Linked DNA regions of Coturnix japonica. The protein of the gene in region 6 purifies or fractionates together with the protein of the main gene of each other region. This does not show direct contact. Links are inferred from orthologs where the notes say so. Each region holds a gene or a part of one and is shown on either strand. Other genes may lie near its edges. The genes, in order: ANAPC13, CDC27, ANAPC2, ANAPC7, ANAPC4, ANAPC16 and CDC26.

The links.
Region 1: the proteins of ANAPC16 (region 6) and ANAPC13 purify together in Homo sapiens (affinity purification with mass spectrometry; 3 studies listed by BioGRID and IntAct, counting the BioPlex papers as one, with this or other methods). This does not show direct contact. The link is inferred for Coturnix japonica from reciprocal best matches to the Homo sapiens genes ANAPC16 and ANAPC13.
Region 2: the proteins of ANAPC16 (region 6) and CDC27 purify together in Homo sapiens (affinity purification with mass spectrometry; 10 studies listed by BioGRID and IntAct, with this or other methods). This does not show direct contact. The link is inferred for Coturnix japonica from reciprocal best matches to the Homo sapiens genes ANAPC16 and CDC27.
Region 3: the proteins of ANAPC16 (region 6) and ANAPC2 purify together in Homo sapiens (co-immunoprecipitation; 5 studies listed by BioGRID and IntAct, with this or other methods). This does not show direct contact. The link is inferred for Coturnix japonica from reciprocal best matches to the Homo sapiens genes ANAPC16 and ANAPC2.
Region 4: the proteins of ANAPC16 (region 6) and ANAPC7 purify together in Homo sapiens (affinity purification with mass spectrometry; 6 studies listed by BioGRID and IntAct, with this or other methods). This does not show direct contact. The link is inferred for Coturnix japonica from reciprocal best matches to the Homo sapiens genes ANAPC16 and ANAPC7.
Region 5: the proteins of ANAPC16 (region 6) and ANAPC4 purify together in Homo sapiens (co-immunoprecipitation; 10 studies listed by BioGRID and IntAct, with this or other methods). This does not show direct contact. The link is inferred for Coturnix japonica from reciprocal best matches to the Homo sapiens genes ANAPC16 and ANAPC4.
Region 7: the proteins of ANAPC16 (region 6) and CDC26 purify together in Homo sapiens (co-immunoprecipitation; 5 studies listed by BioGRID and IntAct, with this or other methods). This does not show direct contact. The link is inferred for Coturnix japonica from reciprocal best matches to the Homo sapiens genes ANAPC16 and CDC26.

The regions. Positions count from the first base shown.
Region 1 is NC_029524.1:2,642,637-2,646,563, reverse strand, and holds ANAPC13 (anaphase-promoting complex subunit 13), read left to right. Parts: upstream 1-1,694; 5' UTR 1,695-1,805; coding exon 1,806-1,904; intron 1,905-2,836; coding exon 2,837-2,962; 3' UTR 2,963-3,074; downstream 3,075-3,927. Other genes in the region: CEP63 (centrosomal protein of 63 kDa), read right to left, coding at 1,373-1,416. UniProt on the Homo sapiens protein: Component of the anaphase promoting complex/cyclosome (APC/C), a cell cycle-regulated E3 ubiquitin ligase that controls progression through mitosis and the G1 phase of the cell cycle.
Region 2 is NC_029542.1:2,302,293-2,306,341, forward strand, and holds part of CDC27 (cell division cycle protein 27 homolog), read left to right. Parts: intron 1-119; coding exon 120-292; intron 293-922; coding exon 923-1,075; intron 1,076-1,861; coding exon 1,862-2,070; intron 2,071-2,280; coding exon 2,281-2,398; intron 2,399-2,771; coding exon 2,772-2,900; intron 2,901-3,375; coding exon 3,376-3,450; intron 3,451-4,049. UniProt on the Homo sapiens protein: Component of the anaphase promoting complex/cyclosome (APC/C), a cell cycle-regulated E3 ubiquitin ligase that controls progression through mitosis and the G1 phase of the cell cycle.
Region 3 is NC_029532.1:1,026,899-1,031,888, forward strand, and holds the start of ANAPC2 (anaphase-promoting complex subunit 2), read left to right. Parts: upstream 1-1,672; 5' UTR 1,673-1,693; coding exon 1,694-1,774; intron 1,775-2,513; coding exon 2,514-3,136; intron 3,137-3,454; coding exon 3,455-3,587; intron 3,588-4,685; coding exon 4,686-4,860; intron 4,861-4,990. Other genes in the region: SSNA1 (Sjoegren syndrome nuclear autoantigen 1), read right to left, coding at 1,316-1,515, 1,595-1,646. UniProt on the Homo sapiens protein: Together with the RING-H2 protein ANAPC11, constitutes the catalytic component of the anaphase promoting complex/cyclosome (APC/C), a cell cycle-regulated E3 ubiquitin ligase that controls progression through mitosis and the G1 phase of the cell cycle.
Region 4 is NC_029530.1:4,517,114-4,522,170, forward strand, and holds the start of ANAPC7 (anaphase-promoting complex subunit 7), read left to right. Parts: upstream 1-1,680; 5' UTR 1,681-1,800; coding exon 1,801-1,901; intron 1,902-2,380; coding exon 2,381-2,567; intron 2,568-3,191; coding exon 3,192-3,311; intron 3,312-3,818; coding exon 3,819-3,930; intron 3,931-4,157; coding exon 4,158-4,311; intron 4,312-4,417; coding exon 4,418-4,560; intron 4,561-4,657; coding exon 4,658-4,775; intron 4,776-5,057. Other genes in the region: ARPC3 (actin-related protein 2/3 complex subunit 3), read left to right, coding at 314-408, 703-765. UniProt on the Homo sapiens protein: Component of the anaphase promoting complex/cyclosome (APC/C), a cell cycle-regulated E3 ubiquitin ligase that controls progression through mitosis and the G1 phase of the cell cycle.
Region 5 is NC_029519.1:66,523,133-66,527,417, reverse strand, and holds part of ANAPC4 (anaphase-promoting complex subunit 4), read left to right. Parts: intron 1-911; coding exon 912-996; intron 997-1,382; coding exon 1,383-1,493; intron 1,494-2,040; coding exon 2,041-2,124; intron 2,125-2,377; coding exon 2,378-2,464; intron 2,465-3,147; coding exon 3,148-3,212; intron 3,213-3,307; coding exon 3,308-3,350; intron 3,351-3,460; coding exon 3,461-3,537; intron 3,538-3,956; coding exon 3,957-4,057; intron 4,058-4,136; coding exon 4,137-4,188; intron 4,189-4,285. UniProt on the Homo sapiens protein: Component of the anaphase promoting complex/cyclosome (APC/C), a cell cycle-regulated E3 ubiquitin ligase that controls progression through mitosis and the G1 phase of the cell cycle.
Region 6 is NC_029521.1:9,575,712-9,578,886, forward strand, and holds the end of ANAPC16 (anaphase-promoting complex subunit 16), read left to right. Parts: intron 1-1,595; coding exon 1,596-1,711; 3' UTR 1,712-2,236; downstream 2,237-3,175. UniProt on the Homo sapiens protein: Component of the anaphase promoting complex/cyclosome (APC/C), a cell cycle-regulated E3 ubiquitin ligase that controls progression through mitosis and the G1 phase of the cell cycle.
Region 7 is NC_029532.1:814,444-817,658, forward strand, and holds CDC26 (anaphase-promoting complex subunit CDC26), read left to right. Parts: upstream 1-2,057; 5' UTR 2,058-2,088; coding exon 2,089-2,169; intron 2,170-2,256; coding exon 2,257-2,430; 3' UTR 2,431-2,503; downstream 2,504-3,215. Other genes in the region: PRPF4 (U4/U6 small nuclear ribonucleoprotein Prp4), read right to left, coding at 251-344, 563-642, 859-946, 1,144-1,330, 1,525-1,702, 1,885-1,959. UniProt on the Homo sapiens protein: Component of the anaphase promoting complex/cyclosome (APC/C), a cell cycle-regulated E3 ubiquitin ligase that controls progression through mitosis and the G1 phase of the cell cycle.

The DNA.
Region 1 (3,927 bases), on a different chromosome or scaffold from region 6:
ACAGTAGTGACACCAGTGACACCAGTGATTGGTGCGGAACATCGCTGGGCAGAGACCTAAACTTGGCAGTGACTAATGGGGCATGCTTTGGAAACCCCAGTCAGAGCACATGCAGTGTGTTTTGTTTTCTAATGTCACAGCAAGCCCCTATGACCACTGGTCCCTTTATCTTGGTACTACGCATTACCTAAATAAACCACAACTTATTCTGCCCATACTTTGCATTTCCCCTTAATGCTCTTTTATACCCCCTTTCAGTCACCAGAGAAACCTCTCAGCTCCCGAAAACAAAAGCATATCACAAATGCAGACAAACCCCTACGTTGGTTGGATGACAACATGATAATGAAGAATAAAACATCCCCAACCCATTGGGGAAAGCACGCTCCCTGGCGATGCCGCAGCTTCTAATTTGTGCAGTAATTATTGAAGCCAATTCAACCAAGCCCTGTAAAACTTCACAAGTGCTAAGCTAAGGACGGTATGAAGGCTTGCAAGATACAGCCCTGGAGGGCTGTGAACTCCATGATCATCTTCACCCATTTAATTTGACTGTCAAATGGAAGGCTCTGAAAAGGAACGGAAATCAATAGGTGAAGGGATTGAAATTTCCCTGCTCCCCCAGAGCATACATACCCAGCCTTCACAAGCTGACAGATCTTCTATAGGGAAAGAAGTAGCTCTCAGAGCAGCCAAAAGCAGTTAAATTGGATGTTCACCCCGGCCTGCGAGTTACCCAAAAATTAGCAGCTATTATGCACAGCAAGAACACCTCCTGCTCAGCATCTGCTGATACACAGCTATGTCTAGACTGCATTTATACAACCAGTTAACTGCAAAAGATACAGCACTGAGTCACCTCCTCAAAGACGGCAATGGAAATGGTGTCAGTGCCTTTAGTTTTGTGTTTGTTTGATAAATGAAGCCTTGTTATTCCATCTCCAAGCCCACAAGCCTTCACCTAAGGGTTCCTCAGGGTGTCTGCAGCTCCAGCACAAGCAGGAAGTAATCAGGTGCTCTCAGCATGTCTCATTAACCTCACCGGGCTCTTAAGAAAAGGATTTACTCACTCTTCTACTTAGCACCGCACTGCAAGGCAGGAGGGGGCTTTTTAAAGGGGAAAACAAAGGGATAACGTTCTTAGAGAGGCAAAATACAGACTGCAAGGCGCTGAGGGACCGCTGCAAAGTGCCGAAGCAGCCACGTCGCTGTGCGCTGCATCCATCCGCCTGCAGAAGGTACCGAGGGTCTCATTGACACCATGGGAGCTTGGCAGAAGAGTGGCAAGGAGCGTTAAGAGGGAAGCCCCGCGGTGAGGCTGTTGTAAAGGCCGGGCACACAGCGGTGCATACATACATACGTACATACATACCTCCCCTGGCCATTCCTCTGCATGCCTGCCAGCAGAGCCTCCATCACCCAGCGCCGGCGGGGTCAGCAGGGGGGAAACCACGCAAAGCAGCGGCCACCGCATCCACGGGCAGCGGGAGGGGAAAGGTGGGGGAAATAGAGGGGCAGCAGGAAGGGCAGAGACACGAAGTGACGGGGCAGAGAAATGGTTGGTTGTACGGAACAAGAAGGTACCGCACAGTGAGCGGACCGCACCGACCGCACCGAGCCCACCCGCAGGGCGCTGCCGGCCGGGGAGGGGAAGGAACGGAGGCGGCGGCGGGTGATGACGGTACAGCGGGCGCCGGAACATCGCTGCGGGATGGGGCGGAGCGCTGCCGGCAGAACCGAGCGCGTTGGGGCCGCTCGAGTCCCCGCGGGACGGGGCTGGTACGGAGCTACCTCGGAGGGTGAGGATGGACAGCGAGGTGCAGCGGGACGGCCGCATCCTGGACCTGATCGATGACGCGTGGAGGGAGGACAAGCTGCCGTACGAGGACGTGGCCATCCCGCTGGTAGGTGGAGCACAGAGCCACATCCAGCCCGGCCTTGAATGCCTGCAGGGATGAGGCATCCACTGCCTCCTTGGGCAACATGTTCAGTGCGTCACCACCCTCTGGGTGAGGATCCTCCCCTTCCCTGTTCGCACAGGTGTAAGCCGGCCAAAATCACGGCATCTGATAATGCCTGCAAAGAGACATTGCCAAATTGCAGTGACATCATTCAGCCCTTACAGCACAGTGTGGCATCACTCTTGGAAGAAGAGCAGCTCCTTCTCAGCAGAGGAGGCAGGAAGCAGCTGCCCTCCTCCAAAACCAATAATAACCAATGCAGCAACACGGGGAGCAAATAACACGAGGAAGTCAAATGAAATCGCATTTAAACTCTCCTTCCTCCCCCCTGCATGCTGAGCAGCTTGGTGTTGTATCTCCTGTTGTTACAGCACAGCCACAGCAGAGCTCCACATGCAGCAAGAGGAAGGATTTCTCACCTTGCCATAAGAAAGCGATATGTTACAAAGCCAGCTGTCTTAATAGAGCTACGGTAAATGCAGTATCTGTATTCTGGGCAGCAACAAAGAACCACAATCTAAACAAGCAATGGAATAATTGCACCGTGTTATTATTTACTTATTTTGCATTTTCTCTATATTCTCCTTCACTGCGTGTGCAGTCTGAGTACATAGCAAGGCCCCGGGGCCCTGGAAAGCCAATTTACCTTTCAGATGAAGCATCATAATCATATGAAAAGCACATTGTTCCTCCCTGGGCTCAGTAATATTTTAACTGAATCTGGATGTATGATATGTATTGTTCAGATGCCCCCTCCAGTCTCATTTGTGGATTTTTTTGTATTTATTCATAGGAAGTCTTCGTCACCAGCTCCTTTTTAGGCAGCTTGTTATGCACTGAATGCATTGTACCTTTTTTCTTCTTGTCGTTCTCAGAATGAGCTCCCTGAACCAGAGCAAGACAATGGAGGCACAACTGAGTCTGTGAAAGAGCAAGAAATGAAGTGGACGGATTTATCTCTGCAGTATCTCCATGAAAACGTCCCTCCCACAGGAAACTGATGAATCCGGGGGCATTTCACGACAAATTCTCTGTTAACTTATTCTTTACTTGGTGCCAATTCTGTTCTTAAGTGTTTTCTACACATGATAAAAAATGTGTTTTTTCACCATCTGGAGTTGTTCTTATATGTCAAAACTGGGGATGGGATGTTTGTGACCGTGGAGGTTTATGTCCCAAGAGGTATAACTGTGTTTTGTGTTAGAGTTCGCTGCCAGTGCTGACCACTGTATATTTACACGTTGTTTAAATGGTGCGATTTGTGCTCAAATGATGGTTACTCAAAATCCCTATTGGCTGAGCACGTTGGATGTTCTGTGAGGACATGGGCGCTGAGTAGGAGGATGCTTGGTTTGAGTGGCTGGGGCAGCCCCTGCCTGAGGAGTCAGCAGTGCCTGCTCTGAGCCAGCAGTGAGCTCATCTGAACAAGAAGGAGCTGCATGCAGCCAGCAGGCTGCTCAGGATTAACCCAAGCTTCATATGTACAGTATAGACCTTAGAAACAGCTACGCTGCTGGGAACTGTAATAGTTCAGCTCCTCGCTGTATCTCAGCAGGGGGCAAAACAGAGCTTGGGCTTAATGAGGTATTTCTGATCCTCCCCATGTTCCCTCTCCCTGCAAAGAAAACACTAGAAGCTGCGTGGTGGCTTTGTGTACCCAGCAGCCGTCTCTGTTCTCTCTTCCCTTCCCCTCTCTCACTCCATCACAGGCTCCATCCCCATCACACCAATTTTGCCACAGGATTTTCCAGCTCCAATTTCAGGCTTCCTTTCCCAGCCCTGATGGTTGTCTGTGCATCTGCCCACTTCTTACTGTCTAGCAAGGGGGGAAAAAAAGCCTTTCTCGCTTGAATTGGAGCTGAATTCACAAGGTTCCAGCAGGGCTATAAGAAAACATGGTGGGGATATGTCAGATGTGTGAGTGCTGTCCAAAACAGCAGCTCCTTGGCAGCACGTATTGAGTTGA
Region 2 (4,049 bases), on a different chromosome or scaffold from region 6:
GATATTCATATGCAAAATTAGGAGCAGTGCCACAGTGTGAAGCTTATGAGGATTAGCTGTTTCAAGTAAATGAATTTCAGCAGTTTTTTCCATTTTTACTTATTGTATTTTTCTCCTAGAAGGTTTGATGAGCCTTCTTCGTGACATGGGGAAAGGTTATTTAGCCCTGTGCTCATACAACTGCAAAGAAGCGATAAATATTTTAAGCCATTTGCCATCTCACCACTACAACACTGGCTGGGTGCTGTGCCAGATTGGGAGAGCTTACTTTGAACTTGCAGAATACATGCAGGTAGGAACTGCCTGTGGTTGGTTTTGAGTCTGTGTCAGCAGTCGTTGTTTCCTGAAGTTGAGTTGTGCTTCAGATTTCTTTTAATGCTGAAGTTACTTCCTCTTGCATCCAGTCCTGGGAGTCTCCCTTTGCCTTTCTCCATCTTCACCCTCACTTGGGCTGATGCAGCTGTTTGTACTGCAGTGCTGTAAATAATCACTGAAACAATTCAGGTTCCAAAACCAGGTGTTCTTCTCCCCCCCCTTATTTAGTTAATGGAGATCCATTGATGACCTGGTTCCCTTTGCAGCTGAGGTGATAGCAAACTGCTTCACAACAGAAAAAAGCAGCTAAGATGAATCCAGCCGTTCAGCTCTTATTCTCTCTGTTGCCCTGACAGTTGTTGTGCTTGTTTCCTGCAGGAGTCACAAGCAGGGAGGGCAGCTGGAATTCTGCTTGGTCTAACTGTATTGGAGTGCAGTCATTTCCTTTGGTGGGGAAGATAAAAATACAACAGGACTTGTAGCTCTGCCTCATGTTTGCATAGCAAAGAATTCTCATTCTGGACATATGAGGCTTCTAACTTTGATCTGTGTGCTCTGTTTGAGTGGGTGGAATTGCTGTTGTTTGATTTCTCATTTCCTTTCTTAGGCTGAAAGGATATTTTCAGAAGTGAGGAGGATTGAAAACTACAGAGTAGAAGGCATGGAGATCTATTCAACTACGCTGTGGCATCTGCAGAAAGATGTTGCTCTGTCAGTTCTTTCAAAGGATTTAACAGACATGGATAAAAACTCACCAGAGGTACAAAATGCTGTGGTGCTCAGTGAGATGAGTAACTGTGTGCGGCACAGACAGTGACAGGGAACAGAACTTGGACTGGAGCTGGATTAGGATTTCATTCTCACTTGAGAAATATGAGGTGAAACTGGAGAGGGAGGTGGCAGGATTTGCCTGTTGAGCTGATGATGCCTGAAATGGCTGCTTGGCGTTAGAATATCAGCTTATATGGGACACGTTGTGAACCTTTAATCTATTAATGGTGATTTGAATCTGTATTGACATTGTTAATCCAGGAAGATCATGGGTTGATCAATTGTCCCTGCTGATGCCCACATGTAAAGATAAGGGATGTTTTTTCTCATATTATCTTCTAACTGCTGTAATTCACTGGCACTCATATTTCCTGCACAACTTGTACAACGCTGCTTGAAAATATTTTTATGCTGAAGTCCGTTGAGCTGGTATTATAACATGCACATGACATGCAAGCAAGCTGACATGTGCCCCAATAATAAGTATGTATGTGTGTGGAGGGGATATAAATCTGCTCTTGACAGAGTGGGGGAAGCTGTGGAGTCTGTTGGGATTTTCTGCTGGAGATGAACCTATTCAGGTCATTCTATTTTGTACTAGAGGAAGGAGGACTTAGTGAAGCAACTGGTCAGTACTGTTAAAACTGTTGTTTATAATCTAGTAGCAAGTGACATAATTGCATAGATCAGTGACAGAAGATCTGTTTAGCTCAGACTTGGTCATTCTGCAGGTTGTGAAATGACACTTCTAACTTAGAATGCTGTTTTTTATTAGGCATGGTGTGCTGCAGGGAACTGCTTCAGCTTGCAACGAGAGCATGACATTGCAATCAAGTTCTTCCAGAGAGCCATTCAAGTTGATCCAAACTATGCTTACGCCTACACCCTTTTGGGGCATGAATTTGTGTTAACAGAAGAGCTAGACAAGGCATTAGCTTGTTTTAGGAATGCAATCAGAGTCAACTCCAGGCACTACAATGCATGGTAAGTCTTGCTTCATCCCCCTTCTGCTGTATGTGATATGGAGCACCTTTGGGAGGAATAAGCTGCAAACGCTGCTGTGAATTTTGTGAGACTTTTCTGTCATTGAGTCATTTCTAAATATGTGCCACTTCTACCAGTCCATATTTGCTGATGACAATTAGTTTATTTAAGATGCACTCTTATTAATGGAACTGTTTTTCCTTTTTGCAGGTATGGGTTGGGAATGATTTATTACAAACAGGAGAAATTCAGTTTAGCAGAAATGCATTTCCAGAAAGCACTTGATATCAATCCTCAGAGCTCAGTCTTACTGTGTCACATTGGAGTAGTAAGTAGATTGCGCTCAGCTCTCTCCTTGTTATGTTCTGATTTGCCTCTGCCCTTTACCTGCAACCTTCCTGAACTTGAAGTGCAAAAACAAACAAAACAAAGTTCAGAGGATCTATTAGAGGATCTTATTGCATGAATGAATAACCGTGGGATTGTGTCAGAAAATAAATCCTCTTTTCTCCCTCCCCCCAGTTGCTTTTAGCCAGTGTTGAAATGGCTTACTGACTCAACCTGATAGCATAGGCTTACCTGTGAGAAAGCTTGGTTTCTTTAAGACTCAGTAGGAACAGGTTGTAAGTAAACGTAGCAGCACCAGTCAAATTTACTTTATTCTTTTCCCCTTTTGAGATTTTATTCCTGTTCTGTTACAGGTCCAACACGCACTGAAAAAATCTGAAAAGGCTTTGGATACTCTAAACAAAGCAATTAACATCGACCCCAAGAACCCACTATGCAAATTCCATAGAGCTTCTGTACTGTTTGCAAATGAGAAATACAAGGTAAGATTTGATGCACGTAGACAACCTTAGATTATCTGTTACTTGCTACAGCAGCGGATGGGGATGCAGTGATAAGCATTAAGGCTTGAAGCATGAGTAGGAAGAGCCTGAGGCAGAGCAGCTAATAAAGCATTTGTTTCAAGAAGTGCCACCTTCACTGAGCAGGAGATTAAAAGTCAAAAGCAGAGGATACCTGTGAGCAGGAGAAAAAAAATTAGATGTTATTATAGGAGACCAAAGCCCAGCGTATTTATTCTGTGCTTGTAATAATTGGGCCATAACATTCTATAGCCATTAAAGGAGAAACTAATGTAAAAGAAACTTGAGGTGCTTCTGATGAGGCCGTACTGTTGTTTGTGGTGGAGTGTGCTGTATGTCAGTTGCGAGGTTTGCATCAGCTCTGAGTTGCAGTTCAGCAATGCAATAACTGGCTGCTGGTTGCCAGCTTGTGCTTATTTTTTTTCTTCCTTTTCAGTCTGCTTTGCAAGAACTTGAAGAACTGAAGCAGATTGTTCCCAAAGAGTCTCTTGTTTACTTCTTAATAGGAAAGGTAGGTGAAATTTCACTGTGTTTGTAAGCACTTTGTTTTCCTTCATTGCAGAAACGTCTGCTTAATGAGGAAACTTGAAGCCTGTTGCCAAGCTGTTTACATTTGGGGCAGCATTGTAAAATTCACAGAGCCTTCAATAAGACTTGCTGCATATAATCTCACAGCTCTCCAACGTAACAGCTTTCAGCCTTAAAAGACTGGAGCAACCTCAAGCTATTTTTATAACCACCCAAGAAAAGATAACCCAAGCTCCTGTTGTCTTCTTTTACATCTGTTGTCTCAGAGGAATTCATTTTAGAAAGCAAGAAATGGATCTTTATTGAGATCTTTAACTGCAAAGAGGTTGCAGTAGTTAGAACAGCTTTCAGGGCTAGGCTGACTATCAGTCATCTGTGTTGGTTATTTGGGCCTGGAGATGTGAAAGTGTTGAACCATGCTCAAATGTATAAATGTATTAATATTGCATCAGAAGTGCTGAGTAAGTGTCTGTGGGGTGCTTTTACTCCTCCGTGTCTGTTTCAGCTGATGGCCTTTGCAAGTGGGTTACAGAAGGCGATATCCTTCTGTATCAGTTTGGGAAGTGGGAAATCTTAATGAGG
Region 3 (4,990 bases), on a different chromosome or scaffold from region 6:
CTCCTTTCATTCATTTTCTTCTGTTTTTAGCACATATTTTATACCATCTCACACTCCCATCTGTTGTGCCCAGGAGATCAAGGCAACACCAGGCTTAGATCTCACTGCCTGTGCAGCTCACCTGTTTACAGTGGGCACCTGTAACAGAACATGGCTGTTTCAGTCCCAGTGATAGCTTATACTCATTCCTATGGCCTCACAGGGGTATGAAATGGTCAGGGGAGAGGTGAGGAGCCCTGCAGAGGGATCCTGCTGTCTTTCCCCCATATCAGAGCATGGTGCGTGTATTAGGGTGAGTCCTGAGTCTCCCCTGGGCCGGGGAAGGGCAAGGAGCACCATCACACAGAGACCTGAATGCACAGGAGGGGACTCTGCTCCTCATTTCAGTCTGCAGGATGACCATGTTTCCTCTCCTCACCCCTTGGCTTCTCACCTGCTGTGACTCTGTCCCCTAATTTCAATAAACACGGCTTTGTTTGTAGGACAGGGGGTCGTGGTTTGTATCTCAGGGAAGGTTTCTTTTCCAACCTGTGCTGTTTGTGGTGTAACTTTACAACACCGCTTCCAAGCTGTTCCATTCTCACACAAGTTCTCCCCAACCTTTGGGTCCTGGAGTGCTTCCTCACATCACCTTCCCTTCCAAACAGTGTCCTGGTGGGTCTGACATCCCTGTGTGTCATCACAGCCCTATGAGGTGTGTTGGCTGAGTGCGGCAGCTGGGCTGTGCCCCTCGTGTGCTGCATTGGGGTGTGTGCTGATGGAAGTCTTGACTCTTTACAGTCATTAGCAGCTAATGTGGGAGATGCAGAGGGTCCATCAGGGTTTACACAGGGTATGGCAGCTGAACCAACTTCTCTTTTAGTGCTGGATGATAAATATTCCACAAATATTTATTTATATACTTATATTTATTACTAATGAGTGAATTGTGGCAGCTGGTTGCCTCCCAACCCCCAGCACTTCCCATGTTTAGTGCAGGTCCGGCTGGGTGAGGAGGATGCCGTGCTTACAGCACTTCAAAAGACACATGTGAGAAAGGAAAATGTAGGCGACCACCTGGAGAAACTTTTATTTCTTCAAGTGCTGAGTGGGGCTTGAATGAAGAGCTGAGCTCAGCTGAATGGAGCAGGCACAGAACCGTGGGATCGTTTGAACTGGAAGGGGCCTTAAAGGCCATCAGGTCCCACTCCCTGCAGTGCTCATGGACACCCTGAGCTCCATCAGTGCTCAGAGCTCCATTCCTGACCTCAAATGTCTGCACCAACTCCTCCCCGCTCTGTCTCCCCCTGGTGTATGGGGTTCCCTATGGCCGTACCTTGCCATAAGCCGCCTCGCTCTCAGCGATGCTGTTTTCCAGCTGCCGTTTTGCAGCCAGGTTCCGCGCCGTTCGCTCGGAGCTTCGGGCCAAGCGCTCTGTGAGCGCCGCGATGCGGCTCTGCAGCCGTTCTCTCTCCGCCTCCTCCTCCCGGATCCTCTCGCTCAGCTCATCCCGCCGTGCTCGGAGCTCGGCCAGCCCTGCTCGGACCCACCACCACCACCATCACCGTGTGAGCACCGGCTGCTCGCTGCCCCCCTCCCGTCCCCGCTCACCCACCCTCCAGCAGCGCAGCGTTGTAGCCCTGCAGCGTTTCCCCGGTTCCGCTCATCGTGCGGCCCCAACGGCGGCTCCGCGCTCCGCCCCTTCCTGCGGGACATGGAGGCGGCGGGTGCGGGGCTGTCGGCGGCGTGGAGCGCACTCAGTGCCGCCCTGGTACCGCCCGCAGCGCTGGGGCTGGTGAGCGGGGAGAGGGGGCAAAGGGATGGGGGGATAGACGGGACGGGATGGGGGGGTGTGGGTCACGGTGCGGCCCCAGCAGCGGGTAATGGGGGTAACGGTGGCCGTTGTGCGGGTGGTTGGGCTGAGCCCCCCCCGGCACATCGCTGCCGTGTGCGGGATGCGGCTTGTCCGAGGGCATAGAGGTGGTGCTGGTCCGCTCCGAAAGTGATGCCTCCTGTTGTGTTCTGTAGGAGCTGCGATAGATACAAAGAGATGGGAGCGTAAATAGAGCAAATTGGCCGGCACTGTGATGAACGAGAGACGTGTGCTCCATTCGCTTCCATGTCAGACTGCCCCTTGCTGCCGTACGTCACATAGCAGTAGTGTATTGGTGGGAGGTTCAGCCTCGGCTGCCGTCCTACCCACATCCCCCTCTGACACTGTGGGCCAGTACAATAAAATAGGAGGCATCACTTTCAGAGCAGCCCTCGTTAAATATGTAATGTAGTTAACATATACAAGCAACAGAACTGATTTTAATCCAGTAGCTTTGGGTCTGTGGGATGGGCACAGCCCACACGTCGAGGGTCCCCCCTGGTACGTGTCTGCCTAGAGTCAGAATGGTCGGGTTGGGAGAATCCTTACAGCCCACCCCCCCCTGCCATGGGCTGCCAGCCCCGCACCGTGCCCAGGGATGGGGGCATAAAGGTCTGGCTGTGTGCTCCGTGCTCAACCTTTCATCCCCTCTGCTCCCCAGGCAGCGGGGCGCTGTGACCCGGTTCGCCCACTGCAGGATGCGGAGCTGCGGGCCGCCCTGGAGGTGCTGCGCTGTTACGGGCTGCACGCTGCGGTGGAGGAGTGGTTCCTCGAGGTGCTGCAGACCGACCTGCAGGCACACATCGCCCCCGAGTTCTGGAACTGCGTCGGTCAATATGAGAACACGGCGGAGGAGCAGCAGTGCTCAGTGCTCCTCCTGGATGCGTTTTGTCTCCTCAAGTGCCGCCTGGAGCCCTACCTGAGCAGCATGGAGCTCCTGGAGGGATGCACCAAGGCCGGGCTGCTCCTGGGGACGGGAGCTCAGACGCTGCGGGAGAAGGTGTACACCATGTTCAAAGCCATCCTGTTCTTCTCCACCACCAAACCCTTCCAGGAGATGATCCAGCAGTTCTACAGCCGCACCTTCCGGATATACATGCGGCAGTGGAAGAAGGGAGAAGAGGGAATGAATGAGTGTGAGAGCAGCATGAGTGAGGCCGAGCAGGAGAGTGACACGGAGGAGAGCGGAGGGGAGAGCGCGGTGTGTGCGGGCTGCGGCAGCAGGAGGGAGCAGTGCTGGTGCCCCACGGCCATGGAGCGGTTCCGGCAGCTCAATGACATCCTGTACGTATGGCACAGCCAAGGGCAGGTGTTGGGGCTCTGAGCACTGATGGAGCTGTGGGTGTCCCTGTGCACTGCAGGGAGTGGGACCTAATGGCCTTTAAGGTCCCTTCCAACTCAAATGATTCTGTGATTCTATAACCCTATGACAGTGTTTCTGAAGATAGGATGGCAGCTGTGTGATGTGTTATTGCTGCCTGCAATCAGAGTGCTTAAATTAAGAGCACCTGCACAGCACATGGCAGCAGGTGTGCTCTGTTAGCTCAGTTTTCTCTTCATGCTTTTGCTTCTGCTCACTCACTCGAGGTTCTGTGTCTGCAGCCGCCAGCTCAATTTGCTGGAGAGGGTGAGTGCTGATGCTGTGACCACCATCCTGCACAGGATGATCAAGGAGAGGATGGAGCGACGCTGCCGGGGTGATTATGAGCACTCCTTCCTGAACGAGTTCCAGGAGGTAAGGGAGGCCCTGGCTATGGAGATGTGGAGCTGCTCCTGTTCCTGCTGCTAAATTCCCAACTCTGCCTCAATTCCCCAGTCCTGGACTGTGACTTCCACCAGCCCTGGTAGAAGAGGAGTGGTTAAAACTTTACATTTGAGATTAATGTTAGAGGGTCTGCTCTCTCAGTTGAGGGAACTGGGCTTGTTCAGCTTGGAGTAGAGAAGACTCCAGGGAGAGTCTTGCCCAGTGTCCTTCCTCACGCCTCCTCAGTTCTCTCGCTGCTGCCTTGCACTGAGTTTGTGTCGAGCTCTTTGCTGTGTATGACCTTAAAGCTCTTCTCAAGGTTACGGCTGCTCTGGGGCACGGGCTGTGCTCTGGGACACGGGCTGTGCTCTGCACACTCACTCTGTGCTCTTTGTTCCTTGATGCATGGCCTTACGTTGGTCTGCACTGACGAACAAAGTGTGAGGTCAGGTTGCCATGCGAACCAGGCAGCTCCGTGCTGTTGTCCTGGTTTCCTCGCTGTGTGCCGTGCTGGGCATTTGTGTTGTCTGCAAACACAGGCGGTGATTTGGTGTTGGCTTCCCTACAGTTGCTGTGCAACACTTTCTTCTCTGGCCCTGCTGTAAAGGGGCACTCAGAGACAAACTCCTGGGGAGAATGGCTGGGTAAAGGTGCTCCTCACCATCCAGGTGCTTTGCATCAACGATCACACTTCCCTTTTGCTTTTCAGCTTTCCCAGTACAGGTCTGGTGCTTGGGTGCTCTGTGCTGCAGCACATTCTTCTGCCTTGTGGTTCTATGGGCAGAACTCATGCACTCCTCCAGTCCATGGTCAAACAGCTGAGCATTAACAGCAGCACACCACACCTAAAGCTGGTTATCAAAACATAACGCCGCCTCATAACTCTTAATACTCAGGTGCTGCCTCAGGTGGTGTTACACATTTGCCACCTTAAGCAGGAAGTAAACCCAATTATTCTGAATATCTGGATGTTGCAGTTGGCACTTTGCTCCCATTCCCTAGATTGAAAACCAGTAGAATTCTGCAGGATGGAATATCCCACCCTGCAGAGCTGTCCTCCATCCCTGTGCTCTCCCTCTGCTGTTGCAGTGGATCGAGAAGGTGCTGGGCTGGCTCAGCAGAGTGTTCCTGCAGGACGGTCCCTTGGCTCGCCCCTCTGCAGAAGCCAGCAGCACCCTGAAGCGCTGGCGCTGCCACGTCCAGAGGTTCTTCTACCGCATCTACGCCGGCATGTTGATCGAAGAGCTGTTCAGCATCATTCGAGGTCGGTGTCTCCCACTCACTCTCTGTGTGTTCACTCACTGCTGGGCTTGGATTGAATGGTGGATCTGTGCTCACCTCTTGGTGCCGCACTGTCTCCCTTTGGAGCCTGGCACTGTTTCTAATCTCTGCTT
Region 4 (5,057 bases), on a different chromosome or scaffold from region 6:
CTAGCTCTGTTTTCTGAGGTCTTCTGATCTTATAACTGCTAGATAGATTCTGTAACAGAGCTCAAGCTAACTCCTACACTGGCAGAGAGGAAACCCATAATGATGGGCAAAGGCTTAGCTGAAAGAAGAAAACAATTGAGATATGTTTTACTCATACAAATATAACAAATCCAAGTATGGCTGTAAAATGAACAGCCAGCAAGGGCCTACAGATGTGAGAGCTCACATTTCTTGCTGTAGGCAGTGATGTCCGCTGCCTTCACACTCAGTTTAGTTTGCCTTAATGCTACTTTGTCCTTGTGCTGTATTTCAGAGGTGATGAGAGCATACTTGCAGCAGCTCAGGCAAGAAACTGGCCTTCGACTTTGTGAAAAAGTATTTGATCCTCAGAGTGACAAGCCCAGTAAGGTAAGGATTTGGCCTAATGATCACAGATTCAATGAGAGGCTTGGTTGCTTTCTCCAAAAGATGGAGATGCATGAATTACATCCTGGTCTTGTATTTCATGTGCAAATATATTTGCATTTCATCATGAAAATTATTCAAGCTAATTTAGTTCCAAAGGCATAGCTTTCTGATGTTCATTATTACACTGCAATAAATATATTGGAATTGGTATTAAACCTACTTTTAAGTCACTATTTCATTTATAAGATAGAAACATCTCTTGCCTGTTTTCTAACTGTGTGCTTTCTTCTGCAGTGGTGGATCTGCTTTGTGAAGAGACAGTTCATGAACAAGAGCCTGTCTGGACCTGGGCAGTGAACAGACAAAGCAGCACCATGAAGCATTTCCACAGCCAGGTGTATGAAATATTCTGCCTTTGTTTTGGATATATTTTGTACCAAGAAAAAGAAGCGTATATGAAGAAAAAAGTCAACGAGGGGAAGAGGGGCGTAAAGTTAAAAGATCATTTGAGTACTGTAAGCAAGTAATATTAAGCTGGTGCTTAATAAATGATTCCTATAATGCTGTTCCAGATGCAGGCTGCTTTATTATCAGTGGCTACAGTTAGCATTTACAGCGGGGAGTTTAAAGAGAAGCGTTTGTGCCTGGAGTGGTGTTAATTGCTCTGCTGGATGGAGTCTCAATGTTGTGGTGAATGCAGTGATTTTTTTTACCTCTTTTTTCCCCCCTCCCCAATAAACTTAGCTTGTAATTAACATGATAATGGCTTTGTCTTATGGTTAGCCATCGTGATATCGGCAAATGCTGTTTGTTCTGAGGAGCTGCTGGTCTGAGCTCATTTCATCTCCTTTGTGGCAATACCTTCACCATCACCACACAGCACTAACGTGCCTTTTGTGGTACTTAATGAAAGAAGGAACACTGAGGTGTCTGTTCCACCTCACTACTCTCCTATGAGAGTTACTGTGTGCTTCAGTTCACAGCAGCACCACTGAGGTGTTTCACCTGTGGGCAGCCCATGTTTTGAGGCCTCCCTCTCCTCAGTTTCCTTATAGGCACAAGCTTTGCCACCTCACATCACTGCTGCAGCCATCACACATTGAAATCTGAGGAGAAAAGCATCCAGGCTCGAGAGCTGCGCAGACACAAGGTCTAAATCTTAAATTAAAATAAAGAAATAAAGATGCTATGACGGGACACGCCCTGCAGCATCATCTCCCTGTTACCACAGACATCACGTAGCCCCGCCTCAACAGCACTGCGGCGGCGCGGGCGCCTGTGGGCAGCGTTACGAGGCCCCGCCTTGGCGCCATTTTGGAGTGGCGGCGAGCTGAGCCGGGCCGCGATCCGTTCCGTTCTGTGTTCTTCCTTCTGTCCTGTCCTTCCTCCGCCATGAGTGTGGTGGAACACGTACGGGAAATGGCCTCCGCCGGGCTCCACTCCAACGTGCGGCTCCTCAGCGGGCTTCTCCTAACCATGAGCGGCAACAACCCGTGAGTGGCCCTTCTGACGGGACCGGGAAGGAATACAGGCCCCTGCCTTCAGGCCCCTTCCTTCCCGACGGGCTTGGTGCGCTGCCGTTGCTCAGGCCCTGAAGGGATGAAGCTGTGTTCTCTCAACCCACCTCAGCCCAGCAGCAGCGGGCCGTGGCCCTGCATGGGCTCCCCCAGTGGAGATACAACAATTTCTTCCCTTACCAACGGTGCCCCGTGTACATCACAACGCTTCCCTCACTCTCGCGGTTCCGGTTGTTTTTCAGAGCTTTCCTGAATCGTTTTGGGTGGTTTTATGAGGTAGTAGAGCCACAATCCCATTCTGAAATCCTTACATTTCAGCACAGCTCCTCACAGTGCTGCTATCCATGTAGTAAAGCAGCAGTAACAGCTCAAAGTTGAAGCTGGATGAACATCTTGTAGTCTGTCCTTGTTTCTCAGGCTATTAGGCAATCTCAGCCTGTCTGTATCTTTCCTAGGGAGCTGTTTTCACCATCTCAGAAGTACCAACTCCTCGTGTACCACGCAGACTCTCTTTTCCACGACAAAGAATATAGAAATGCCGTGAGCAAGTATACGATGGCTTTGCAGCAGAAGAAAGCATTGAGTAAAACCTCCAAAGTGAGGCCTTCTACTGGGAACGCTGCATCAACTCCTCAGAGCCAGGTATTTAAACACTAACTGATGTGCTGCATGTAACTATTGTGCATCCCCCTCTGCTTCAGAGCATGTTGGAGTTTCAATATTGTGTTAGACCACAGACTGCTTGTATGTTTGAAGTGTAATTCATGGTTTTGGAAGAGATGAGCAATGTAAGCTATCAGTAAGCTACATTTTTACCTTTCTTGCACTGGGTATTTTTAATCTATGCTAAGCATTAAACGAGACCATATTAATGTAACAACTATGATGTTGTTGCAATGCTATAATGCTATAACGTAATGGAAAGCACAGCAATAGCAGGGTGGCATAATTCTAGGCCGCAGCAAATGAAAACAAGCCCTGATACAGTAGCTGTGAATACAGAAACAAAGGAAGAAAATCTGCTTACCTTTAGAAGGTCTCTAGTATGCAGGCTGCTAGTGTAATACTTCCACCTTCACTGCCAACCCTTAAATAAGGGCTAGGAAGAGCTGGGTCCTTGCTCCACCCCTTCCAGTTACTCAGATACATTGTCTGCACCTGAGCTTCCCTGGGTTGGTCCTTCCCACCAGCTGCTCCATCACTGTTTCAGTCTGTGACATAACATTTCCACTACAGTTGGCCTTCAATAGTTGTATTTCATTTCAGTGTTTACCGTCTGAAATTGAAGTAAAATATAAAATGGCTGAATGTTACACCATGCTGAAGCAAGATAAAGATGCTATTGCCATTCTGGATGGGATTCCTTCCAGACAGAGGACCCCAAAGGTTTGTTCTGGCAGATGTTTGTCATCGGTGCTTGCTCAGAAGGTAGAAAAAAAGGTTGAGGAAAGCAAACTTAATCTATATACACTAGAATGTAGCAGGACTCAGCTAGTTGGACTGCACAGAGCTTAAATTGTTTCTGTTCTTTTATCACTGATTACAATTTAAAAGCTAAAAAGAAACATTTCATGCCTTCCTTCTCTTGAGAGCTTCCATTGATAGAAGAAATGAACTGAAAGAAGATTAGTGCAGTGGATGTACAGGTTCTTCTTGTCATACTTAAAACACTTGTCCATTTTTGGATGTCACAATGCTGGGGTTTCCAGTTGTACTATGTAAATAAAAAGATGTACATTTTACATTTGGACTCAAGAGTCAATATTAATTTTATAATACATACATAGTAGGTTATAGTGATCTCTACTCAGAACGGAAGGGAGGGACGGCATGCTGGAGGGAGGGCAAAGTTGTGACCTTTTCTTAGTGAGGACTCCTTTCTAATACTTGCAGATCAATATGATGCTGGCAAATCTATACAAGAAAGCAGGTCAAGAACGCTCCTCTGTTACAAGCTACAAGGAAGTACTGAGGCAGTGCCCGTTAGCACTTGATGCCATACTAGGTAGGTTTCTCCACGCTGTTAAGTACATCAATCCTAAGAAGCATTATAATTTGAAGCATGGTTGGGACTAGGTAATTGACTGCCATCTCTAGGTAATATCTGATGCAGATGTATTTAATGCAAACTATAAATTCGTGACAAATTGTTTGTGCTTCCTTGTCTTCAGATAATTTGTAGCAACGGTGATTGAAATTGTTCTGTATGATTTTGAATACCTCTGTGAACAGGTTTGCTGTCGCTGTCAGTGAAGGGTGCAGAAGTGGCCTCTATGACAATAAATATCATTCAGAGCATTCCAAACTTGGACTGGCTTTCAGTGTGGATCAAGGCATATGCGTTTGTGCATACTGGAGATAACACTAGAGCCATCAATACAATTTGGTAAGATTTGGAAGAGTGTGATGTAATCAAATGCCATAAAATATTTCTTCAATGACATTTTATAATATCATTACACATTAACAACAGCAATTTGTTTCTCTTAAAGCTCTTTAGAGAAAAAGTCACTGCTGAGGGATAATGTAGATCTACTGGGGAGCTTAGCAGACCTGTATTTCAGAGCTGGAGATAATAAAAACTCTATTCTAAAATTTGAACAAGCTCAAATGCTGGATCCTTACCTAATAAAAGGTGAGTAAATCATAGTGGAAAATTTACCTAGTATAATGTTCTGCTAAATTAAGTTAGAGTAGCAAGCAAATATTGTCTCTCAAACTTTTCACTGTAGGAATGGATGTGTATGGCTATTTGTTGGCACGGGAAGGTCGACTGGAGGATGTAGAAAACTTAGGCTGCCGTCTCTTCAATATTTCAGATCAACACGCAGAACCCTGGGTAGTGTCTGGGTAAGATGCTCTCTTTCCTTTCTTACCCTTGATTTGCTGAGTGTAGTCCATTACAGCTGATAGAGTGAGATCAGCTTTTTTGTCCTGTTTTGGAAGTAACTTGAACTAGTCAGGAGTACCTATTTTGGTTGGTTTCTTTAAGACTAAACTGGTTTGAATGACTAAACCTTTGCAATAGCAATGATGTGTTAAATAGCTGTGATGGTTAATGGTGTTCTCTTGTTTGTTTGTTTTCCAGAGGTGTTTGGGGAGGTGTTTGTTTGTTTGTTTTTACACAAACTT
Region 5 (4,285 bases), on a different chromosome or scaffold from region 6:
TTTTTAGCTTTAAAATAACAAAGAGGCTTGAATTTAAGTTATTCATAGTCAGTTTTTAAGGGTTCTGGAGGGAGTGTGGAATGTTTCTTTTTTTCATATATGAAGTTCAAGGAATAAGCTAAAAAAAAAACTGAAGTCTCCATCAATTTACATCTTTTCTCCTTGGTTTAAAGGGATTGTCAGGCTACCTTATAATCAGCTGCTGTCAGTGCTATATCTTCTTCCTTGGAAGATTTCTTGAGGCACACTTAAAGGCTATCTTGTATGGATTACTTAAGCTGGTCTTGGAGACACCATGAGTGCTTTAAAATAAACATCTCATATTAGGAAATGTGAGGAACACCTGGAGGATACATAGTTTAGTATACTGAGACTGGCTTTGTAGAGTGCTTGTGATGTGGCAGGCAGTCTCCCTGTGCAAAGTGTGATGTTTCAAACGCAGACAAAAAGCAAGAGGTCATAGGAAAGCATTTTTCTGAGTCGTTGTGTAGCAAATTGATTTTAGTAAGTGATCAGAAGACACACTTCTGTTTGTTCGTGATCCTATTTTTTGAACTGGGTCTCTGTTTCTTTTCCCGTTGTTTGTGGCTGTTTTTTTTTCTGCTGTATCTGTTTTATCATTTTATTTCTGCTGAGGTTTTACTGAGGAGGCCCACTGAGTGACTGTGACACCCCTGTAAGTGCTAGATGCAGTTCTCATCAACCAAATCCAAGCTAGTAATATTTTTTCATTTGGTTTTAAAATTCCTTGGGTTGTAGACAACAGCACAGTATTTGCTTTAGTAAAAGGAACGGATATTAAATATTAAGAATGACATCTGTATGCAATAAAAACTGACTTCTGAGAGCTTAGGAAAAAAAGTTGTCTATTTATTTTCATATACTCATCAGCACATGTTCTGTTTTTGTAGGCTTAATGCTCTTGTCCTTGGTGGCAGCTCTGGGTTTATTGAAATTTATGCATATGGAATGTTCAAGATTGCTACAGTAACTGAGGTATGTTTGCTTCTGTATTTTTTTCTTCAGTATATACCAAACTGCAGCTGAATTGAATGAAATAATGCATCTCTAGGTTTACTTGTAACTGAAACTGGATAGTTGAAATTTTACAGGAAGGAATAATTACTTCCTTGGATAAGGTTGTGTGGTTATTGCTGGAAAGACATTCCAACTCTAAGTGGTGATTTTAACATCTTGTTTGAGAAGTAACTAAGCTCAATGCTAATCCATGTTAAAAGGGGTAAATTCATTCTTGAACAAAATTCCACTTGGTTTTTAAACATCATTGAACACAGCCTGCTTTGTATGTGAGTGTGTTACAGCAGTAAATATATATGGGAAAAATCCAGCATTTCATTAACATTTAAACTGGAATCCTTCAGGTGGCAGGTTCTTGTCGTGGACTCTGTTTATCTAGTGATCTGAAATCACTATCGGTTATTGCAGAAATACAAGACTCTCCTGACAGTGAAGCAGAGATAACTTATTTTCAGGCAAGTAAAGTAATTTTAAAATGTTCTTTCTTTTACTTTCTTTCACCAAGCTTTATCGCTTTTCCATTATTTGCAGGAAAATCCTACAATTATCGTTTTCAGCCTTCCTGAAATACACCCTGACTTAGTTTTTAGATTTATTGCATTGGCTTGCAGTCTCACAGATGAGACTGGCTGTAACGCTCTGAGGCCTTGTGATAAAATACTTCTTTAAATATAACATTCATTTATTCAGTTACAGTTGCTCTGTATTTCTTCATTATTCACACAGAGGTGTAACAGCCGTTCTGTTCATCGTCCATTCTATCCAGAACAGTCATCCTTCAAACTCTTGCTGTTAGAACCCCAAAATTAGAACCATTCTTGAGAGCTTTTCTAGGTAGATTAAAATACTAATTGCCCTGTTTTCTTCCTTAATGAAAAATCAACTTAATGAAAACGAGAAATACTGAGTTTCTCTGTGGGTCCTCTTCATCTGGGCTTTTATTTCTGTAACCTGAAACTCTTTAAAAAACAAATGATCTGTTAACTGTTCTGTTTGTTATAGCTGGACACCAGTCTGTTATCAAATTATTTACCTGAGGTAACTCGAATGGCCCGGAAGTTTACTCACATTTCAACTCTGTTACAGGTACAGTTTTGTCATAACATCTTTATATCTCAAGTTTTAGAGGCTTCAATATTCTTACAGGAAGTAAAATTTTTCTAGTAGGGAACTTCTGTTGGTTTTAAGTAAATGTGGAGCTCTAGTTTGAGAAGTTGATAATACATTTCATACAATATCTGTAGCATATATCTTCCCTTTGTGTAATAACATTCAGCTACTTAATATATACTGAAAGGGAAAAAAGGGAGTGAGGCTAATTTTAGTGTCTGTGTTGCAGTATATAAAGTTGTCATTGACGTGCATGTGTGAAGCATGGGAAGAAATACTGATGCAGATGGACTCACGGCTAACAAAATTTGTGCAGGTATTACAGTATTAACTGCTCTCTTGGAAAACTGTTTCTGTAGTAGGTCTGCTGTTCGTGTTAACTACACAGTGTATTATCTTAATGCTGTTTATTTAAGGCCTCCAGATAGCAGTCTCTAAGTTCAGAGGTGATGGTGCAGATATCTGAGTACAGTCAAGTGTGATTGCATTGTGATACTCCTTCATTTTGTTTATTCTAAGTTATTTAAAAATGATATTTTTCAGCTTGCACAGCTATTGAACAGTTGCTGTTTAAGGTTGTGTTCTTTGTACTTCAGTCACTGATAAACTGACTACTGTAAATGTTGAGCAGCAGCCCATCACTGACTCAATGGAGCATATATATCAGATCATATATTTGCATCTATTTTGTGTGCATGGCTGGCTGTTAATTGAATCAAGTAATTAATGTATTTATTTTTAACATAGATTCTTGATGATGGAAACTGCTTAGAATTTTTCCTGAGTATTACAACTGAAAATAATTGAAAATATTGAACTTGAATCATTTAATTGAATTGAATTTCCAAAGATGAAAGTAGGAAATTTCCAAAGTAGTCTCATTTCAGCATTCAGTAAGGGTGGGTTTTATAATGTACTTGGTTTGAGGTATCTGTGATGCTATTTAGTAGGTTGAATGTAATCTCTTTACCAATCTATTTCAATCATTTTGGCTGACAGGAAAAGAATACAACCACTTCTGTTCAGGATGAGTTTATGCAGCTGTTGTTATGGGGCAAAGCAAGGTAGTTACTGTTGTTTTATCTGAGTATGCATTTGCATTTGATGCTAAAATACAAAATGAAAGCATATTTGGTTTTCTCTTCCTGTCCCTTTTCAGCCTGGAACTGCAGGCATTATTAATGAACCAACTGACAGTAAAGGTATGTTAATATTATTTAACATCTTAGAACTATGCATTTCAGTATCTTTTAATCACTGCTCATTTACATTAAGAAAACATTATTATATGCTTATACTTCTTTTTTAACAGGGTTTAAAAAAGCTTGGTCAGTCCATAGAGTCCTCCTATTCCAGTATACAAAAATTGGTTATAAGTCATTTGCAGAGGTGAGTCACAAAATGTCCAATAAATTTTAGATTAAGTGGCATATTATGTACTTTGCTAAAAAACTGGGCATAGTGTCAGTGGTTCTATATATATGGATTTTTTTGTATGGTACCGTGGCAATACACAATGTACTAATTTACTCATGGGAGCTGTATTTTGAGCAATTTCCATGGTGAATAAGCTATATATCTCTGCCTGGTATTTTTATAGGAAATTTTCCCCAATGTTGTGTGGTGGTTAAAATTACAAAGACAATGTTTGCTTTTCTGCAAAGTCATAATGCATTCTTAACTCTTATATTCCAGGTGATTTTATAAAGATCTCCACTTTGCCCATTAAAAGATAAAAACGTGGTGCACAGTGAAGTAGAGTTATCGAACTGTGACCACAAGATTGTTTCTTTGCTTTACTTTCCTAGTGGCTCAGAAGCACTGTTATACTACTTGAGTGAGTTGAAAGGAATGGCTTTATGGAAACAAAAATATGAGTCTCTGGGATTAGATGCATCTGGAATTGAAGGTACAGTAGTGTGTGCCCTACTTAACCACACTCATTTCACTTCTGTAAGCATATTAGCAATGACTTGCTCTCTTCACAGAGGCTACTACTGCTGTCGGTTCTTTCATCCTGAAAGCAAATGAGCTGCTTCAGTAAGTATAAAGTCTGAAGAATTTTAAGGTGGCTATTGAGAAAGCATGTGGCTTGGGGCCGAGAAGGATGGCTGGGTATGGCTCCTCTGTTGGTGGT
Region 6 (3,175 bases):
CACCCTGTGCACCTTCACAGGAGGTGAGGCCAGGAGAGGAGGCTCGGGGCAGGAAACGCCCACGACCTGCTGGTGGCCCTGCACTGCTGCCTCTTTGGCCTCAGGCAAGTCACTGGCTGCCTTTGTTTCCCTGCTGAGCCTTCATAGCCCTGCCAGGGTCAAGCGAGGTTCCCAGAGGTGTCTGGGAGAGGATGTGCACTCTGTAAGTGTGTGCAGTGAGCTGTGGGGCTGACCGTGCTCTGTCCCTCCCTGAGAGTCTTGCGTGAGCTTTTGTTTCCCTCCCGGGGTCTGTGCTGTGGCCCAGGTGCTGATAACCGAAGGATGGGCTCGTCTGCACGGCTTCATTCTCAGGGTGCCGGGCAGAGCTCAGCACCACAGCCCATCTGTTTCTCGAGGGTCACATCCTTTCTGGGCTCCACCTCTCATCAGCTAGAATGGGCACTTCCATGTGTTGTCTCAGACCGGAGAGGTTTCCTGTCCTGCAGTTTGATGGCTGCCAGGAGGAGTTCTCAGGGTGTGCAGCGGCTTGTGAGGCCGTGATCCCGTGTTTCTGGGCTGCAAAGCAAAGCTGAACTTTGGAGCCATTGTTTCCACAGCCCCAACTCTCCTGCGCCTGTAACTACCAGTGCACCAGCACCCCAACGAGCAGCAGCTTTTGGAACTGGTTTGTGGAGTGCTGGTTGCCTCCCTGAAGGAAAGGGGAATGGCTCAAAATAAGATCGAGGTCATCGTTGTGTGTGTTTGTTTGATGGCTCCCAAAATACCGAGTTGCAGGAGGTGGAGTGAGAACAGGCGCTTTTAAAAGCACCCAGCCTCTGTGGCTGCAGTCAGCACAAACTGTGCACATTTAAGCTAAGCCTTTTGCTAGCGACTTGGCTCCCGACAGGCCCTTTTTTTTTTTTCCAAGAGGCTGCCAAGCTCTGAAACTTGCAGTGCAGCCAAGAGCAGAAGGGCTATTCTCATCTCCGTACCACTGCAGCTCGTTTAATTGAAAATGGAGTCTGCGTGCCAAGCGCACAACTGGCTTGAAATAAAGCTGAGGGGAACAAGTTGTCCCAGGGAGCCCCGGGGAGGCAACCTGCCTCTCCTCCCAGATCTGCTGTGTGTTAGCACGCTGTGATTGCACTGCATTGCTGCTGCACTCAGCCAGGTTCTTCTCCAAGGACCGTCATTGGCAGGAGGAGCTCCTTGTGCTGCACCCAGCCCTGCCCTATGCAGGCCAGGCTTTCTCTAAACTCTGTTCTTTTGCACCGTAAATGTTTATGCTAAAGAAAAGAACTCGGGGCTGTTTGTGCCTCCATACGCTCACTGTCCTCATGTTCCTCTGTTACGACTTGAACTATTGTGGCTAGTGCAGGGATGTGTAGCAGACAGATTGAGCACTGCCCAAGCAATAAAGCCTGGCCCTTTTGCTTCCTTGTGTGATCAGGTGAGGTCCAATCTCCATGTGCACATGGTGGGTTTGCATTCAAATCAGCTTTTGGTGAGGTCAGTTCTTTGCTCTGCTCCCCACTGACAGCTGGGAATTTACATCTAATTGCAAGGTTTAATTGCAGTGTCGTTGCAAAGCAGGGTTACCTTTGAACTTCTTGCAGATCAACAAGTTGCGCGGATGGAAAAACTGGCCGGTCTGGTGGAGGAGCTGGAGGCAGATGAGTGGAGGTACAAGCCAATAGAGCAGCTGCTGGGATTCACTCCCTCCTCGGGCTGAGCACGTCTGGATCCCTGCTGCCGGAGAGCAGAAGGAAGGAGCTCTCTGGCCCAGCTTCAAAATACACCACCATCTATCAGGGTATTTACAGCTGTGTCAGCGGGATTGGGCTGAAAGAAAGAAAGAAAGAAGGGGGGACGTAAAGCCGAGTGGCAGGGGAAGCAGCCCAGTAAGTTGGCCTGTCATTTACCTCCTGTGTGCTGACCCAGGTTATCTCCTGCCTGGGAAGTGTGTGTCTGTGCCACTCCAGCCCGGCCTCTGCTGGGCACTGCCAGGCTCTGCCAGCAAGGCTCCTTTCTTCGAGGAGCTGACAGGGTGAGCCCCATCCTGCAGGGCTGTGTCCAGCGCTGCCTCCTGCATTGCTGAAACCCTTTTCTTCCCAGCACTGTTTCCCTTTTGTCTGCACGGTGCTGGTGGCACATCCCTCTTTAACGCAGAAGCTGTACCCTGAATACACTGAAACCCTTCTCCTCCTTATTACGTGTTAAAGTGCTCTGTGATAATAAAATAATTCTGCCTTTGAAACCATTGCTCTTCACCGCTTGGTGTGGGGGCAGGGTGTGATGAAAGGAGCAGTCAGCTGCTGAGGTGGGAACGAGGTTTAATGGAGCTCTGAGGCACCTCGGCTGCTGTAATGGTAAACTAAGTACAATCAAAAACATCCTCAGAGAGAAGGAAAACAAAGGCCGCCTGCTTCATGCTCAGAAGTGGATTGACTTAAATCAGATCTTAATCCCGCTTCCAATCCGTGCATTTTAATCATCTTGTTTTTCATTTGTACCTCAGCTCCGTTCTTAAGGAGAACTGGCTTTCTGCTTTCTGCCATAACCATCTCAACATGTTCATTTTCCATTGGAGCCTTAACGCCGTGCTCGCCAGCAGGGGGATGGGCTCAGTGCTGAACAACCTCACAATCCGGCTGCCCAGTTTTTCCATCTTCATTATCTGACTTCCCAGCTGATTTTTTCCCTTTTAACCCAGCGGCCTCAGTCCAGCCACATCTGGATTGAGACTGAGACGCCATTGAATCTGGACTCAGTTCAGCAGTTTTGCCAGCGATCTGTGGTAACAAAAACCAAAGGGGAAAAGCACGGGGCCGTGTTTTGCATTTGCTTCTGTTTATGAAGGAGTTCTGGTATCGGAGCCAACTCTTCATCACCTGGAGAGAGGGGCTGAGATTGCAGGCGGTGGGAGCACCCTCACAGTGCAGGACGTGGTGGGGAGCAGCACAGAGCCAGCTCCTGTGTGCCGGGCACTGGGATGCGTGTGCAGGCAGCGGCCCTGCCCCCATCACATCTCCTCCTCTTACCTGAACGCTGCTTTACCCCAGCTGCATAAACCCACTGTGGCCAAAGGTGCTGAAAACACGGCTGTCCTCTGCCTGCCTCTCACCCACCCTGTGTGCCACCATCAGAAATAAACCTTTGGCTCTCATTGCACACAGTGAAGCTTTGCCACCACCGT
Region 7 (3,215 bases), on a different chromosome or scaffold from region 6:
ACAGGGATGTGTCTCTGCATCCCTCTGCAGTGCTAGAATACAACAAAAGCAGATTTCTCTGTACAACTGCAGAAACAGAGCTAGAACACGAGTACCACTAGAAGAGAGAGAAAATGCAAAGCTCTTCAAGGCGCAGCACAGCAAATTACACACATCTGGACAGCCCCTCCAGGCAGCTCGATCCTTCTGATCTCTTTGAAATTCAAGAAAAAACGTTCACAAGCAGCAGTTGAACAGATGGCAAACCTACTCGTAGGGATTTGTGCAGTTCTTGTCTCTGCGATGTCCTGGTTGCCTCTGGAATCTCTTTGAGCAGCCGGGCTTCTTCCAGACGCTTCGCTGCCCTGTGAAGAACAAAGATCAAGTACCAGATGTTCACATTTCCCATGCCTTGCTGCTAGAAACCCTCACTTCCCCATTACTGGGCTAACAGATTTGTCTACCGGAACATGTTCTTCATTCTTTTGATCTCAAATTTACTACACTACCCACAATGTGGTTAGTAGTTAAGAGTTTACAAAATGTTGCACTTCTCCCCTTCATTGATGTTAGTTTTCCTTACCTGGGAAGCGAGTAGTTAGCAAGCCACAGCCTTGCTGTTTTCAGACTCCGTGGTCCTTCATGGTACCAAGTCTGTTGATACTGTAAGGAAAAGAACAAAGCCAAAAAAAAGCTTAATGCTGCCGATTTAAACAGTGCATTGACAGTTCTGCTAAAATGGGCAACAAAGAAAAAGAAAGGGATGATTTTAGAATTTGCACCCTGACCACAACCAGGTCTTGAATGTCTCAGAGACCACCAAAATAAGGTATTCAAAGATGACTGTATAAATCTCCTCCGGCACTGAGAAATCATTACCTCTTCTTTAGACTTTTTCGACCTGTCGTCATCTTTCCTTGTCTTTTTTAATGCATCTGTGCCGACCACTGAGAGGATATTTCTTAACCTGAAAGGAAACACGTTAGGTTACGTTCACTTGGTGGACAAACACTCATTGTGTTCCATTCTTTCTTGTTATGTTGTAACCAAACACAGACCGGCAGCACTCGCTGCACGCCAACTACAAGGAAAACAGTGGGAATATGATAAAGTGGGGGAAGCTGAGCGTTCCCTCTTTGCAACACACAAGGGCAGACACAGCACCTCTCCCTCCTCTCTGCGGGACCTTCTCCAAAGAGCGTGATGGGCTCCCCGAGGGCTCGCAGACAGGCCTTCACTTCAGAGTCATCCGTGGAGACGTTGATTTGCCGGGCTCGCTTCCTGCGCTCAAACTCAGCCAAGACTTCGGCCTGTCGCTCACTCATGTGATCCTCCAGATCAAAGACCTCACCTGCACCAAAGCAAAACCATCAGCCTGGACACAGGAGCTGGACAGGAGATCCTCCTCCAACAGGAAGATCCCAACAGAGAGCTGGCAACCCAGGGAAAAGCCTCCCCTTATCAAACCTAATGTATGCTCAGATATTATTGGAGTGACTTTCGATTACACTAAATAAAGGCCACCCCATGCTGCTGTGCTCTCACCGCTGCTGATGTTGATGTTCCCGGCCTCCAGGGCCGCCTTCATTCCCTCCTTCCCCAGCAGCCCGGGCTCCCCCTTGGCCAGCCGCTCCCGCTCCTTCTCCTCCAGGCTGCCATAGAAGATGGGCGCCCTCTTGGCGGGGGGAGCATCGCCATCCTCGGACGGTTTGTTCTTCGTGGGCTGCAAAGGAAAGACAGAACCGATAGGAATCCGTGTGTGCTGAGTGCAGAGCTGACCTCATAACGGACACGGCACGGAAACCACAGGATCTTGTGATAACACCCCAAAGCCGCAGCGCTACCGGTCACAGCCCGACCCGTCACAGCCCTCCCAGCTCCGTTCCTTCCCATCTCCTCCCGTACCTCAGGCGGTGCGGGGCCCCTCACAGCCGCAGGCCGCGCCCCGCCTCGAGCCACCGGTGCCCGCACGGCCGCCATCACTGCGCTGCCCGACGGCCTAACGGAGCACTTCCGGTGACGGACAGGAAGCGGCGGGTCACACCGGGTAAACCGGAAGGGGCGGGCGGTGCGTGACAGAGCGGAAGGGGCCGGGAGGCGGCGGAAGCGATGCTGCGACGGAAACCAACGAGGTTGGAGCTGAAACTGGACGATATCGAGGAGTTCGAGGGAGTCCGGAAGGACCTGGAGGTGCGCGGGGACGGAAGGGGAAGGACCGGCAGGGGTCGGGGGTTGTCCCGGGCACCGGGGCCCTGACTCGGCCCCCCCGCCCCGCAGAGCCGCAAGAAGCAGCGGGACGAGGCGGACGTGGCGGGCGGCGAGGAGGCGGCGGGCATCGCGCTGGGAGCCGAGCACAAGAGCCGGGAGCAGCTCATCAACGACCGCATCGGGTACAAACCGCAGCACAAGGCCGGGGTCCGAGCCGCGCACTTCGGCACGTTCGAGTTCTGACGGTGCCGCTGCTCCCGGTACCGAACGGAGCCACACGAGGCTGTTTTAATAAATGGGCTTTTTTACAAACCGACACCAGCTCCTGGGTCTCCTTTGGTTGCACGGGGAAGTAAAAGCCTTCACTCAGCACAGCTGCAGCATTGACGGTTGTTTTTAAAGCACACAGCCACAGTAAAATGCATCTGCTTTATTAGTTAATTATATACAGGAGATCTTTGATACGTTACTAGATAAGTTACCTTCACAAAGAGCAAGAGGAAAATCAAAAGTGACAGTCTGCTGTAAACAAAACTATCCGTCCTTTTGGGTCTGCTGGGGCTGCAGACCAACTGAGAAGGCACTGGGGGAAATAACAGAAGCTCAGGGATGAACACAGCCTGGATACACTGTGCTTCCTACAGACATGTAAAGACAAAGTATCAGGGTGCACTCACAGACACAGCGATCACATTCTAAGCATGCTACATATGCTGACACGTGAACTTCATTTACTCAAGTCTAATAATCTAATATTAGAGTCCTCACCTCCCTCTAAGCACCACTCAACACAAGTTTAGTGTTAACACTGGGACAGCTTGAAATACAGCCAGCATAAAGGCCAGGATGGCATCCAACATCCAACGCACTAAGTGCAAGTCGGTATCACAGTGGGCAGGTTTTGCTCAGACTGGGGAAGCAAACAGCATCAGGTGGGCAGGAGGGAGGCTGGGGCACAGGGAGGCTCCTCAGGACTGTCAACAGTTACTAACCCTCAAAAGAGATGATTTCAAGGGAGGATGCACATA